Linked DNA regions of Xenopus tropicalis. The main gene of each other region encodes a partner of the protein of the gene in region 2 in a complex. Links are inferred from orthologs where the notes say so. Each region holds a gene or a part of one and is shown on either strand. Other genes may lie near its edges.

Evidence for each region. The genes of interacting proteins can lie anywhere in the genome.
Region 1: tert (region 2) and dkc1 share a complex: the UniProt entries of both Homo sapiens proteins name them as parts of the telomerase holoenzyme complex. The link is inferred for Xenopus tropicalis from reciprocal best matches to the Homo sapiens genes TERT and DKC1.

The regions. Positions count from the first base shown.
Region 1 is NC_030684.2:38,917,201-38,924,656, reverse strand, and holds the start of dkc1 (H/ACA ribonucleoprotein complex subunit DKC1), read right to left. Parts: upstream 4,558-7,456; 5' UTR 4,463-4,557; coding exon 4,447-4,462; intron 4,331-4,446; coding exon 4,272-4,330; intron 2,890-4,271; coding exon 2,803-2,889; intron 2,514-2,802; coding exon 2,422-2,513; intron 2,064-2,421; coding exon 1,879-2,063; intron 1,240-1,878; coding exon 1,175-1,239; intron 881-1,174; coding exon 754-880; intron 157-753; coding exon 26-156; intron 1-25. Other genes in the region: cmc4 (cx9C motif-containing protein 4), read right to left, coding at 6,895-7,088.
Region 2 is NC_030682.2:58,809,188-58,816,130, forward strand, and holds part of tert (telomerase reverse transcriptase), read right to left. Parts: intron 5,944-6,943; coding exon 5,761-5,943; intron 4,753-5,760; coding exon 4,591-4,752; intron 704-4,590; coding exon 608-703; intron 1-607. UniProt on the Homo sapiens protein: Telomerase is a ribonucleoprotein enzyme essential for the replication of chromosome termini in most eukaryotes. Active in progenitor and cancer cells. Inactive, or very low activity, in normal somatic cells.

The sequences.
Region 1 (7,456 bases), on a different chromosome or scaffold from region 2:
TTTTATCTATCGATATGGTACCTACCTTCTCTCCTAGGACACCAGAGCGAACACGACGTAGCTCCTGCATTTGACCTCCAACCCCCAGCAGCAAGCCAATGTGAACACACAGAGTCCGGATATATGTACCAGCCTCACAGCTTACCCAAAATATACCTAAAGAGCAGGAAGGGGGACAAAGGAATTAGTACCACATAAAAGGTTTGTTAGACTCTTTTATACATCAGAAGACCAACACCAACATACCCATCTAAAGCAGTAAAGCTGTTCCAATGAACATGAGCCCACCTTTCATTTGTTAAAGTGGCTTTGCTGCCTTTAAATAAAAAGATATCATCATCTGTTTATGCACAGGGCATGGTCTATTTTGTATTTAGACATCAGAGCAGTCATGTACCTTGCATTCTACATAGCCCAAGCATGTACATAAAGCTTTTGCAAGCATAAGCAATATTATAGCTCTTGACACCTTGAGCAATTCCACACCAGTATCAAAAGTATCCGTATCAGAGCAAAAATAGTGTTCATACATTCTAAAATTTCAATGGCCCACAACAGGTGCCTCAAATACAGACTGAACACAGTATATCTTCCCAGTACACCTCCAGAAGGCATTTCAACATCTCATTTTAAATTTAACAAACCATAATACACCTTATAAGCCATTACACCTTGTATTAACTGCTTAAACGCACATGAAATACCTACTTTTATAGCATTTAAAGTCTGAGGACAACCTGACCAGTAACTCACCTAGCCGACGTTCAGGGTCATATTCTATTAGTTTGCTCTCGTAGATTGTTCTTACACGCAACTGCCTCTTAACAGCAGCTATTAAAGGTGGACGCTGGAATAATGCACCAGTGAGTGTCTCCAAAGCCTGAGGACAGTAAGAATAAAAGTTGGCCGAGCATTAAACATAGGAAACTTGCATAGTGCACCTTTGCTAGGAGGCTGGTTTGTTTACTGATTTGCCACTAGCAAAAAGGAGACATAAGTTAACAGAAATCTATAGCCACCATCTTGCTTTAGATAAAGTAATGGGGAAAATTGATGTTCAAACTTGTCTTGTGCTCATGCTGCATTGATTGTGTGGCAAACATGAAATCTCATATATTGGGACATAATTTGGGAATAGGTCTGGCAGCCAATTTAAGGTAGACCATTACCTTACCCGTGAAAGTTGTAGTTCGTTCTCCAACGCATTGTGCAACCGTACAATTCCCACATACTCTTTCCCTAGAGGGGACAGAGCAAAATGGGGGCAGCCAGTTAATATGAACAGCAGAGGGCGAATGACACATGAATAGGTGTCAACGCAAAGTAAGATGCCATCTTCAGTCCCTACTAGTGACATTTTAAGAGTCACTACTTAATATCCCTTCATATTTATCTAATTTAGGTTTTTGGTCTCAAAAACTTCTATAAATGTCACCCTTAGTTTGCACTTCTAACCTGACTCTATACTGAAGCAGTTATATCAGTAAATGTGCCAATGGTTTATGTTTCAACTATACATCACATGTTCAGCCATTACCTACAGAAAAAATCAACCATAGTCCTGCTGTATTATTAAAAGCCAGGAGTATGAGTAAGTTTCTTCTAAAGTTTGCTTTCAGCAACAGTAGACCAATAAATACATCCTGCCTACTTGTTGAAATATACCAGAACTGGTAATTAAAAAATTTAAGCAATACAATTTAAAATCCTACTCCTACTAGCCAAGAGCATTTCTCAAGAGAATTTGCATGGCCCAATTTGGTTTTCTTTGGACCATCAGTCCCTGTGCATGCCGTGTACAGTACATCTTTGAAATAAGCAAGTCTCTTCATCTTAACATAAGGTGTAATTTATATCTTGTTTCAGGACGGGACTCACCTGCACTCTGTTGCGACTTTACAAGTCGTGTTGCGCGATCAATGCAGACAATCAAACAGCCTGTTACTTTCGGATCCAGGGTCCCACTGTGACCAGTTTTCTCCGATCTTAAAATACGCCTTATCCATGCTACAACCTCATGTGATGAAGGATTAGCAGGTTTATCCAAGTTAATAAACCCTGTTCTGAGAGAGAATAAATGACTGTGGAAGCAATACCTACACCTTATCCAAGCAGGTACTGAAATTATAAAGTATAAAAAAACAAACAAAAACCACACACTATTCAGGCTGATGTTTATAACCTATTAGCATATATATTATTCCATAGAGATTTGTATTAGAGAATATTTGAAGTGGTGTCCTTCTATGACACCACCTCCAGATTGCCGAAAGAAAAAGGACTACTAACTGGCTTTTTACATGCCTTACCAAGGCATGGAATTTGCTAGACAATGAGCAGTAAATAAAAATGATTCACTCTTAAACCCCAATAGCACTGTAAGCAAACAGTATGTTGATTGAAAAAACACCCTTGACTTACTTAATATATTCAGAAATCTCTCTTTTCAGTGGGTTGGAACCAGATGGAATAGGAGTGTAATGAGCTGTTCGGATGTTTAATTTATCAAAGTTCTAAGGGAAAGAACAAACATATTGATAAAGTATGGTATAAGCTTAACTCTAGCTAATGTAAATTTTATGTGCATAGCAGTAGGGGGATGTAGTATGATTGGGGTAAATATTTCTAGCACTGTAAAAGATATCACTGAAGAAACAGGGTTATTCATTAACACATTTATAAAGATCATATGCCACAAGTCTAAAAAGAAATGCAAAAACATACAACATATTGATACAGAGTGCCATGTCTCCAATTAATTTCCAATAAATATTGATAGCTTCATCCTTGCCACATACAGACCTTGAGAAGTAAAGGCCATTGAGATGTGTCTAGCTGAGCCACTTTAGATTCAGGTTTGATTAGAAAGTCTCCCTCATGTTGAATATCCTGCAAGAGGAGGAAAGGAGTTAATATGAGATTCCCGTATTATCTTAATTCATCAATGACATCATAGGAGATGCTCTATTAAGTGGACCAACCAACCTAGTACACTTTCTGCTGTTAATCCCTTGTTACATGGTACTAACACTTCAGCAAAAGGATAGTTCCATCAAGCACAGAGAAGCAATACACTATTGTCAGACCCCTGAAAAGTTTCCTTGGTTTTTATTTTGCATTACCTGGCCAAATGGAATCTTAATAATCTGCACCTTTCATACACTGTTTTGTTAAATAACTGCATTATTAAGCAATACCCATGTCCGTAACAGAGTGGCCAGTGCCTGTTGCAGCTTCCTCAATGCCTGTTGCAGCTGCCGCAAATATTTGAGACTGTGTACCAACTGCCCTTAGAGGGCAAGGAAGCCACACCTACATTTTTTTTTTTAAACACGTGTTGCCCCCTTGATGCTGTTAAAAAGGAAGGATTTTTTAAGTGTTCTCCCACTGACTGCCTCCTTGTTCTATAAATGGGTTGAAAATCTAGAAGAACAGGGCTGGCAGCCACTATGACCAGCCACATTACTTCTGGTGTGCAGGCTCTGCATTACCGATTTCTGTTCACTGGAAAACAGGACCAGAGCAGCTTCCAGTGCAAATTCTCCTCCACATTTAACCTGAGGGACACTTGCACAATGAATATGGCATGGCTGTCCCTAACCCTTCAACACTACTCTGCATTCTAATGGGAAAACTGGGCAAATGATGAAGGGGCACTTAATATAGTTGGAGGGGTAATTGAGTAATTTATAAAAGAGGCATCTGTGCATTTCATTGCCCTTTAACACTCCACACTTTTGGTCACATTTGCACCAAAGACAGCTTATTTCATTGGTTGAAACCACTAGGTTTTTTCAGACAACTCCCTTATAAAAGTAGGGGTCCACAGACCATAGGATTTGTCCAAGACCTAACTGCCAACCCACATCAGAGGCCTCCAACTCTTAGGACTTTGAAACTCGTGTAAAACTTTATTTTCCCTCAACTTTCAATCCCCAAATTAAGGTTCAGATTCAATACGTGGCATTTCTAATTGAAGGGCCCCCCTCAGATAAATGTAGCAAAACAGCCAGGATCAAAATAAAGAAGTTGCCATTAAATTGCCTCTTTCACATGGTGTTATTTCTGCGTTTTCTAAAGTTATCGCTTTCTATATTGCAATCCCGTATTTAATGGCGGCCAGTGTTGGCCATGCTTTGCAAGCCTTCCGCCTATGGGCCAGTACAGGAAATCAGAACCGACCCAGACAGACCTGCTCAGTGCGCATACAGAACCTCCCTGAATAACCATTGCACAGTATTACTATTTATTATATTAGAGGGGGGACTCACTGCCACGTCCTCTGCTCCGAGAATCTGACTGCGACGCTTTTTCGCCTTCTTTTTGGAACCTAAAAGTGAGAAAAAGCAAAATTAAAAACAAGGCAACGAAATGAAATGTGCAGCTACGGCGCTGGGCACATTCAAACTGCAAACTGCATGGAAGTCATCTGCAGAAACTGCTCACCCTCCCCGTCCGCCATGTCCTCTCTCTCTCCTGTAACACGCGGTGAGTGAGGCCGAATAGTGAGAGCACTAACCGGATATAGCACATGGGAGGAGCTACCCCTGGGGCGCCCGCCCCTTCCTGCTAGGGGCGCATCACATGGCACTGACCGACAGCCTATGGCATCTCTCTCTGTTACGTCTCTGCCACTTGTGTGGGGGAGGCCGCCTGTTAATGCGCCATGTTCAAAATGCGAAGAGCGTGTGTGCTTATTTGGTTTAGCTGGCTGTTCTTCGAATATAAAACATTCCGCAGCAGGGAATCATAGGGCAGATACACTTATAATAAATATGTGGCTGCGGGCAGTGTTTGGATGTTACAGAGGGTATTTGCGCTGATAGATAGCCCTTAGAGAGGGAACAGTGGGACAGGACAAGCAACACGTGTACAGACACACAGTCTTATTCTCTTTACCTATCAGGGATGTGAAGCCAACAACCCCGACTTGCAGCGCTGGGCTCCTCAGTTTGATTCCAGCCTGACTACTATACTATTTCATATAGCGATCTGTTAGAAACAGTAGCAGAAGCTTTATGTTTTAATATATGAAATCAACAGACCTGATCCTGTGTACTACATATATCCTGATAAAATGTAATTGGATTTGCTTCAATCTATATAGAGAGAGAGCTCAACCCCCTTATTACCTGTGAAGGTGTCAGGTACTAGTACTGAAAGACCCTGGCCAACTGGGTCACTCTTAATGCACAGAGGAATTTTAGTAGCTTACTGAGATTGTACCACAACCATTTCTCTTCTGTGTAATTAGCAGCAAACATAATGCCCCAATCTAGGTTCTGAAATCCTGCCCTTGAGTATATTTGTGGTTTTTGCAACAAACTTTAAATACCATTATGGTCACTGTTACCCAGAGGTTCAACCAACTGTTTAGGGTCATTCAAGACCACTAGATCCAGTACAGCATAATTTCTGGTTGGCTCAACAAACTTTGACATAAATCTTCATGCAACAAGTTCATAAACTTGGTCCTATTCAGGGTTGGACTGGGCAACAGGAAATTCCCAGTGGGCCTAGTAAGCCCCTGCAGCCCAGACCCGACCCTTGCCGGCGCTCCCCGGCCGACTGTTCCTCCCCTGACGCATTAAATTTATGCGCGCTCGGGGAGGACGTCGGGTGGGGGACCCTGCGGGCGGTTAGGGGACATGGCCGGCCCTGCAACCCCCAGTCCGACACTGGTCCTATTATCTGTCCCTGGCAGTATTCCACCATGCGTTTTGTGTCCTTGTAAGGAATGTTTCAAACTTAACTCATTTTCTTCAGTAAATGTATTCAAGGTTCGAATAAACATCTTTAATATGAGATTGTTTGCATAGTGTGACAACAACTGTAACAATTTTTCATGATCCAACCTAAGGTGTTTGTGGCTACTGGGAGCTCTGCAGTGTGGATGGGTTAAAAAGCTGTAATGCAGTGAATTGAGGGTTAAAGTACTGCTTCTATTTTTAAGCCACATTTGTCCTTATTTTGGAATCACTACCCTAATTTTCTGGACTTTAGTTACAATGGCACATTTGACTGATGCCCACTAATACAGTTAAAAGTGGGATGTTAGACACAACACTTACACTAATTTAGATACTAACTTACATTATTTGACAGCTTTTGTGGATGCTTGTGGAGGTATTCAGTGGTACTCTTAAACTAAGAGATCCACAATTTACCCCACCACCATGATTTAGTTTTTTTTCTAATTGATTTTAATGGTCATCCCTTTGTGGTTAATTAATTTATTTTAAAATGATTATTAAAAGTTAAGTTTTAGAATTTAGTGCACAAAACTTCTCTAACTTTAGTAAGATTCAACTTTAATAAATGTGCCCCTTAGTAACTAATCCACCAGACAAAATAAGTGTACTAAACTAATTTATCCACAAGCAGCGGTGTAACTATATTTACAGCAGATTGCAGAGTCAGCTGTGCAGTAGTCCCCCCTTCCCGGCCCCTCTCCTCACATTTAAAATAGTAGAGTGGTGGAGGAGGCATGGCACCAGTGAGCCGTGAGGGGAGGAGGGACTTTTTATTGCAGGGGGACCTAGTGCAACCAAGTTACGCTACTTTCTCACTTCACACACAAAGGAAAAAAGCAGTTTACCTCAGTCAGCCAGGTAACCTCAGAAAACACCCAGTAGTCAGTAATTGCTTCTTACTCCATCATTTCACCCAGCACTCCCAGCAATTTCTGTCATTAGCCACCTTTTGCAGCAGAGTTTACATCTTGCACCTGGCGCTTTAAAAGCTGCAAAGTATGTGCAGTGCAGCACTGATCTCTTTCATTAAGAATTCATTCAGTCATGCTGAGGTGACATGTTTTCAATTGATGTAAATACTTTCTAAAAAAGAGATTTTGAATTTGCAGCTTAACTTGCTTTAGAATTTTATTTATCCATGTCATTGTTTTGTTTTACATCCATTATTACAGTCTGCTTCCTGTGCGGTCTTCTGGACTAACTGGTCTTCAGATGTTGAAGCCCCTTCATGCTGGAATCCAGAACAACACACTGAGCGATGGGCTGTGTACTTGGAACAACAATCACGCATGGCTTTGAATTCAGGCTCACACATTTTCTCCAGGTATCTGTGCGCTATGGACACATGAAGATTTTGCAATATGAGCCCATTTGGGAAAGCTTGCACAGGATGGAGGACAGCATAGCATATAGGAAGAGAAATAACAAAACCTCCAAGAGCAGAAACTATTTGGAGGGCGGTTAGAGAGTTATTTAAAATACCACTCAAGAAATAACAAAACAAAAATAATGTGAGGGAGGATTTGGAATTTTAACGCTTTCACTGCCATCCAAATTTCACAATGCATTTCCATAGAATGCCAGGTGTTAGCATAACAAGAATCTTCAGAGGGTCCTGGTGTGTACAGCTGCTTACCCGCCGCCTTCTCTGATAGTTTGCAGGGGGTGCGCACACTTTCCTGGGAAAAGAGAGGCTATAGAGG
Region 2 (6,943 bases):
GTTTTGTTAGAGTTTTTGTTAGTGTGTAATTATGTGCATAAAAATGCTCTAAGTTTAATGTATGTTTTTAGGGTAAGAATAGACAGTACTTGCTGTGTCAGGCAGCTTCAATTTACATACAACAGTGAGAAGCAGAAGGTAGTGGTATGGAATATACAGTGAAATGGAGTGGCGACTTTAGCCCCCCAAAATGCTCCTGTGCCCCAACCAATGGCAGATTTGAGAACAGCACCAAAGCAGGAGAAATAGAACCACAACTTTATGACTTTTCCAGATACCACTGAATAAGAGACACAATAGCTGCCTTAAAGCTGATGCATTGTGTAGTTTTGGCTCTTTCCGAAAGCTCAGAATCAGACAAAATGCACTGAGATGGCTGCCTACACGTCAATATTACAACTAAAAAACAATACATTTATTGGTTCAAAAATAAAATTGTAAATGGTAGAGTGCATGATTTGCTATGTACACAGTGTAATTTAGTGATTTGCTATGTACACAGTGTAATTTAGTTATTAAAAAACAACATAAAATCATGACCGTATCCCTTTAACAAGAACAACTGTTGAGCCAAAATAATTAAAAAAAAAAATACTTAAAACATTACCTGTTCCACTAGAATTGTGTTACGTGTCAAGTTCTTTTCTTGTTGCTTTGAAACAAACTGTTTCATATTTGGAAGAACATCTGCTAATGCAGATACCTTAAGGAGAAAAAAATACATAACATACATACCTACATTACTTTTTGCAGTGTTTAGGTCAAAACATAAAAAACAGATTTTCTTAAGACTCTGTTTTTTTCAAGGGTTCTACATTTCAATTTACAGTGGTTTGTAACCCTATTTTAAGTGTGTTCTGAGATACTGGCATCATTTAAGGTTGTTTCATACTGCTAGGCAGGCTTTGGCTTAATAGATTTATTTTTTTTAACTTTTTTTTTATTGTTTGTTTTTCAACAAGGTAGGTTACAAATAAAACGTGTGTGGGGGGGGAAGATAGAAAAAGTAAAGTTGAGGTCGGATAGGGGGTTAGGGTGGGGGGGTTGGACTCTCGCCTAGCCATTATTATAGGTATAGTCCATTTCTTTTGTTCTGGGTCTGACGTCTGGGTTTATTTCTTAACCCTTTTACTGCCAGCCATTTTGGTCAAAGCGAAACGTGTATTGCCAGACCATTTTTGAACATTTTGCACTCTTTTAATTTAGGGGCCTTTCCGGGGGGGGAAGGACTTTTAGTTTACCCAGGAAAACTATATATTGTTTTTTTCAAAAAAAGTTATATTTCAAGGCCAAAAATTACACTAACAGAAAGTTTAACCCAGAAAATTATACATTTTTGGAAAGAACAGATTCTGTAGGTAGAACTGTCTGTCTACTCCAAACTACCAAGTTGCAATGCTTTCCTAAAGTTATTGGTTTTTATAAAAATTTGTGAATTTTTTGAAAAATCGCTTCAAAGCTTCCAGTCTATAGTACCTTTTCTCCTACAGGTCATAAAGTAACCAGATAAAACACCCTAAATTTGAACTCCAGGGGTCCACTGAACAGTTTGAGACCCAATATGTATAGGTTTACCTAAGCATGTGGCATGTAGGAGCCCCAATGTGAACATACCCCCATATGATCTATCAATTCTGTCATTTCAGCTCCTGCAAAATCAACACATTTATATAATTTCATGTGAGATAAAGCCACAAAAAATTATGCTCACCCCAGAAAGCCATATATTTTTGGAAAGTACACATTCCCCCCAAATCCCCCATGTCTTTCTATTCCAAAGTACCAAGCTTTCCTAAATTTGGCAATTTTGATGACATTTCCAAAAATCCCCTGAAAGCTTCCATTTTGCAGCATCATATCTCCCACATAGCATTAGGTACCAAGATAAAACACCCTAAATTTGAATGCCAGGGGTCCACTGAACAGTTTGATGCCCAATATGTATAGGTTTACCTAAGTATGTGGCATGTAGGGGCCCCAATGTGAACATACCCCATGCAAGCTATCATTTCTGTCATGACTTTTCTGGAAAATGCCTAAAAATGTTGCAATTTGCCACATTTATCTTACAACATTTCTTACATACAATGACACATCACCCTAAATATGAATGCCAGAGGTATAATGAACAGTTTGGTGCCCAATATGCAAAGATATGTGGTGTACAGAGGCACCCAAATGAAAATAGTGCATATGAATTTTCTCAGCTGTCAAAATAGTCCAATGACTCTATATTATGTGCAGGTTTACCTAAGTATGTGGCATGTAGGGGCCCCAATGTGAACATACCCCCATATGATCTATCATTTCTGTTATTTCAGCTCCTGCAAAATCAACACATTTATATAATTTCATGTGGGATAAAGCTACAAAAAATTATGCTCACCCCAGAAAACCATATATTTTTGGAAAGTACACATTCTGACAAATCCAACAAGGGTAAAGAGTCCTTTCTAAACCAAAGTACCAATCTGCAAAGCTTTCCTAAAGTTAGTGGTTTTTATGACATTTCCGAAAATCGTCTAAAAATGTTGCAATTTGCCGCTTTCATATCACACAATTTCTTGCATACAAAGGCAAATCACCCCAAATAGCAATACCAGAGGTCTACTGAACAGTTTGATGCCCAATATGCATAGATATACCAAAGTCTGTGGTGTGTACTGAACCCAAAATGAAAATAGCGCATAAGGATTTCTTGCCTGCCAAGTCAGCTTTTGCACACAGTGCCCCGTCAGTGTATTATGTGCCGTAACACCCCCTAACTATACAGAGACCCCCCAGAAAATCATATATTTTTGGAAAATACACATTCTGAGAAATCCAACATGGGTAAAGAGTCTTTTCAACACCAAAGTACTAATCTGCAAAGCTTTCCTAAAGTTAGTGGTTTTTATGACATTTCAGAAAATCGTCTAAAAACGTTGCAATTTGCTGCTTTTATCCCACACAATTTCTTGCGTACAAAGGCATATCACCCCAAATAGGAACACCAGAGGTCTACTGAACAGTTTGATGCCCAATATGCAAAGATATACCAAAGTCTGTGGTGTGTACTGAACCCAAAATGAAAATAGCGCATATGGATTTCTCGCCTGCCTACTAAGCTTTTGCATACAGAGCCCCCTAACAGCGTATTATGTGCCGTAACCCCCCCCTAACTATACACAGACCCCCAGAAAACCAGAAGCTAAAAAAACAGATCAGGAACACTTATACAGGGATAAAAATGCAATAAAACCACAAAAATTGTGCAAATTAGTGAAACAGCAAAATAAGTCACACAACAGTGTAATTAGTGGTCAGAATATCTGATCCAATAGTCAGGCTGTCAAAATAAACAGTTTTTAGGAAAAAAACAAAGACAAAGGGGTAAAATATAAAATAAATAAGTAAAAAAAAAAAAAAAGTGTTTTTGTGTGTTTGTGTATACTTTGCGATAACATAGTTGTGGTTTGAAGAGGGTGTGGTTTAAAAAGGGGGAGTGGTCAAATTGCTTTCATTAACAGCCCTCCACCATTTAGGCCAGAAACATTCCAGCCCTCAGTGCCACAGAAGTTGGAAAGCACTGACAGACTATATACTATGGTCATTTTTAACAGGAACCCTTTAACATACCTGTATGCATGAGAGGAAACCCACACAGGCAAAGAAAGTAAATACAAATTCTATAAAGGTATTGTACAAGTCAGAATCAGCCTTAGTCAGTGTCGTACCTATTTAAGGACAAGTACCGTATATACTCGAGTATAAGCCGATCCGAATATAAGCCGATCCGAATATAAGCCGAGGTACCTAATTTTACCTAAGAAAACTGGAGAAACTTATTGACTCGAGTATAAGCCTAGGGTGGGAAATGCAGCAGCTACTGCTAAGTTTTAATAATCAAAATAAAAACCAATAAAATTACATTAATTGAGGCATCAGTGGGGTATATGTTTTTCAATATTTATTTCAAAGAAAAACAGTAAACTAGCTCTGTAATTAGAGAATAGGGTCAACAAAAACAATATGAGTACTACCCCACGCTCATTGCATATTGGCAAACTGGCAGCAGACCCAGTCCCGGAGGGATGTAAGGGGAAATAAGTAATGCTAGTGGGAGCCTAGGCCAGGGCACTGGAGGGTCTGGTTGCGGGTGGCCTAATTTGCACACAAAGGACAGAGGGTGCTAGTCTAGAGGGACCCATGGCACCCGACTCGAGTATAAGCCGAGGGTGACTTTTTTCAGCACATTTTGGGTGCTGAAAAACTAGGCTTATACTCGAGTATATATAGTAATTTCCTACCCTTAAACAGAAATTGCCAAAAGTAGGTATTTTCAGCAAGATGTAGAATTTGCACTTTACCTACCTGTTTTAGGTAAGCCAGGTTGAAACTAAACACGTCTCATATTTATAGTGGGAAACATATTTTAAGGCTTGTTTACAGGCAGAATATATAGACTCATAATTCAAACACCATACAATATAATTAGTGAAGATTAAAAAGTTTCTTAGAATAGTTCCAACTTTAACAGACTACAAGTTAATTTACAGGAGAACTTCTGATTTAAATCTGTTGTAACAGTTTTCATATATATGTTCTTACATGTCTTTTGAAAGATTTTATAATGCGTCCAGTTGAATCCACTGAAACTGAGGCATAACGTCGTATGCAATATACTTCATTTGCATTTGGATTAATTACTTTTAAGATCACTTCATCGAGCTTTGAATGTGGAATGGTATCATATGCTCCCTTAACATCTGTCTAAAGAGAAAATTCCAGCACAGAGATTAAACTGTAAATCAGAAAGAATGCAGTACATTACATTTGTGTTTCCTGTTAGTATATAGCAATATTATACAACAAAGTGCTTGATACTGTTTGATAGATTCATTAAGTAGCTATATCAAACCACCAAATTTGTGTGTGTACATGGAAAACAGTTTGGCTGTGCTGAGTGAATGAGGAATACTTGTGAAGGATACATTTCCTATAAAAGGCTACTAGTGCTATACACATACTCTCTATAATTCTTCTCTCAAGATAATTAATTGGATCCATGCACAGTTTTATTCAGTGATAAACTGGCTTTTACATGTGACTACCGTAGGGTCTACAGCCAATGACTGGCAAGTGACATTACCGTGCATCTCAAGCACAAGACTCTGTCAAAGAAACTGAGGTTAGATAATTGATGTCATTGTAAACAGGGAGGGATGTAAAAGGAAAATATATACATATACCTGTTACTCTCTCACATTACCAAGTGACAAATATAGATCGCTAAGTGTATGATATTTAGTATGAGGACTTGGATGCAACGCCACTCACATAGCACTCTCAACACAGAATAACTTAAGTATTTCAATATGCAGCACTGGAAGCCCTATAAGTGAATTGATACCAATGGAAACAAATTTGAAATAGAAAAAACACCAGTGTCCCAACCTCATAATTCAACTTTTGCTGTGAATATTCTGAGCCCTGGTTACTGTGTCTGCTCAAATACAAAATGTTAAATACAGATGTTTCCTAGGTCAAACTAGTGATGACAGCCCAGCCAATCATTTACTTGTTACCTCTATAAGAGAAGAGCTGCACTGACTCTGTACAGTGTAGCTGGCTCAGAACTAGATTGATAGCTAAAGTTCCTCTCTCTACCATTTAAGTATGTTCTATTCATTATTAATATAATAACAATTATCATTAAGAATTAACTTTACAGGTTTAATGATGGGGAGAACATTTAACAAGATGTTTGTTTTTACTTACCTTCACAAAGTAAAATTTGCCTTTTTCAGCTCTCGATTTTTCAAAATCTAGCACAAATTTTTTCCACTGTTTGTATATATCATCCATGCCAAAAACAGATGAGCCAATTAGGCTGCAATTTCTATTCCATTCATAGTTAAGAACACTAAAAAGGTTTCGAACCCGAGAGGTAAAATGTTGAATCTGCCACATAAAGGAAAAAAAAATTTGAAATAAATCAAAAGGAATCTGTAAAATGTCAGCATTGTTAAACTGCTTAAGGTACTATGGCACTAACAAGGTACTAACATATGGAGAATTAAAGCAACTGCAATACACAATTTACTAAAGCAATTGCAATACACTAGCTTAAAGGAGAAGGAAAGGCTAAGTCACTTGGGGGTGCCAAAATGTTAGGCACCCCGAAGTGACTTAGATCGCTTACCCCGTACCCTGGGCTGGTGCCCCTGTTAGGAGAAAAAAGCACCAGCCCGGGGTACCTGTAGGAAGTGCTTCCTCCTTCCTCTTTCTTCTGCGAAATCCGTCGGCCGGCGCATGCGCAGTAGAGTGAAAAGCCGACTTTGTTGTTTAAGTTCGGCTTTTCACTCTACTGCGCATGCGCACGCAAGCGAATAGGAAGCACTCGCTTCTACCGCGGGCTGGTGCTGTTCTCTCCTAACAGGGGCACCAGCCCAGGTTAAAAGGTAAGCGATCTAAGTCACTTGGGGGTGCCTAAAATTTCGGCACCCCCAAGTGACTTAGCCTTTCCTTCTCCTTTAAAAATGCATGAGGAAAATCAAGAGGTGCTTGCAGTTCTGGAAACAGTGTTTCACTGTTAAATGCTATATAGCTTACTTGTATGCTTTAATGAGCCAAGCTAAAATAGGGATGGAAAATTGTATTACAGAGAGGAGTAAATAAACCCAAAATCATTTTTAAATATGTAAATAAGTGGAACCCTTATTATCAGAGGAAGGTCAGTTGTTCAATGAGATCAGGGAAAAAGCAGAGGTTCTGAATTGTTATTTTTGTCTGTCTACACAACTGAAGAGCCAGCTAATGAAGGCTTCCCTTTTAATATGCCCAGTTCTAGTAATATAGCTACTCATGCATGGGTCACTCGGGAGGAATTTCAAAAGGTAAACAAAGGTCCTGGACCGGATGGTATTCATCCCAAGGTATTAATAGAGCTTAGCTCTGTGAT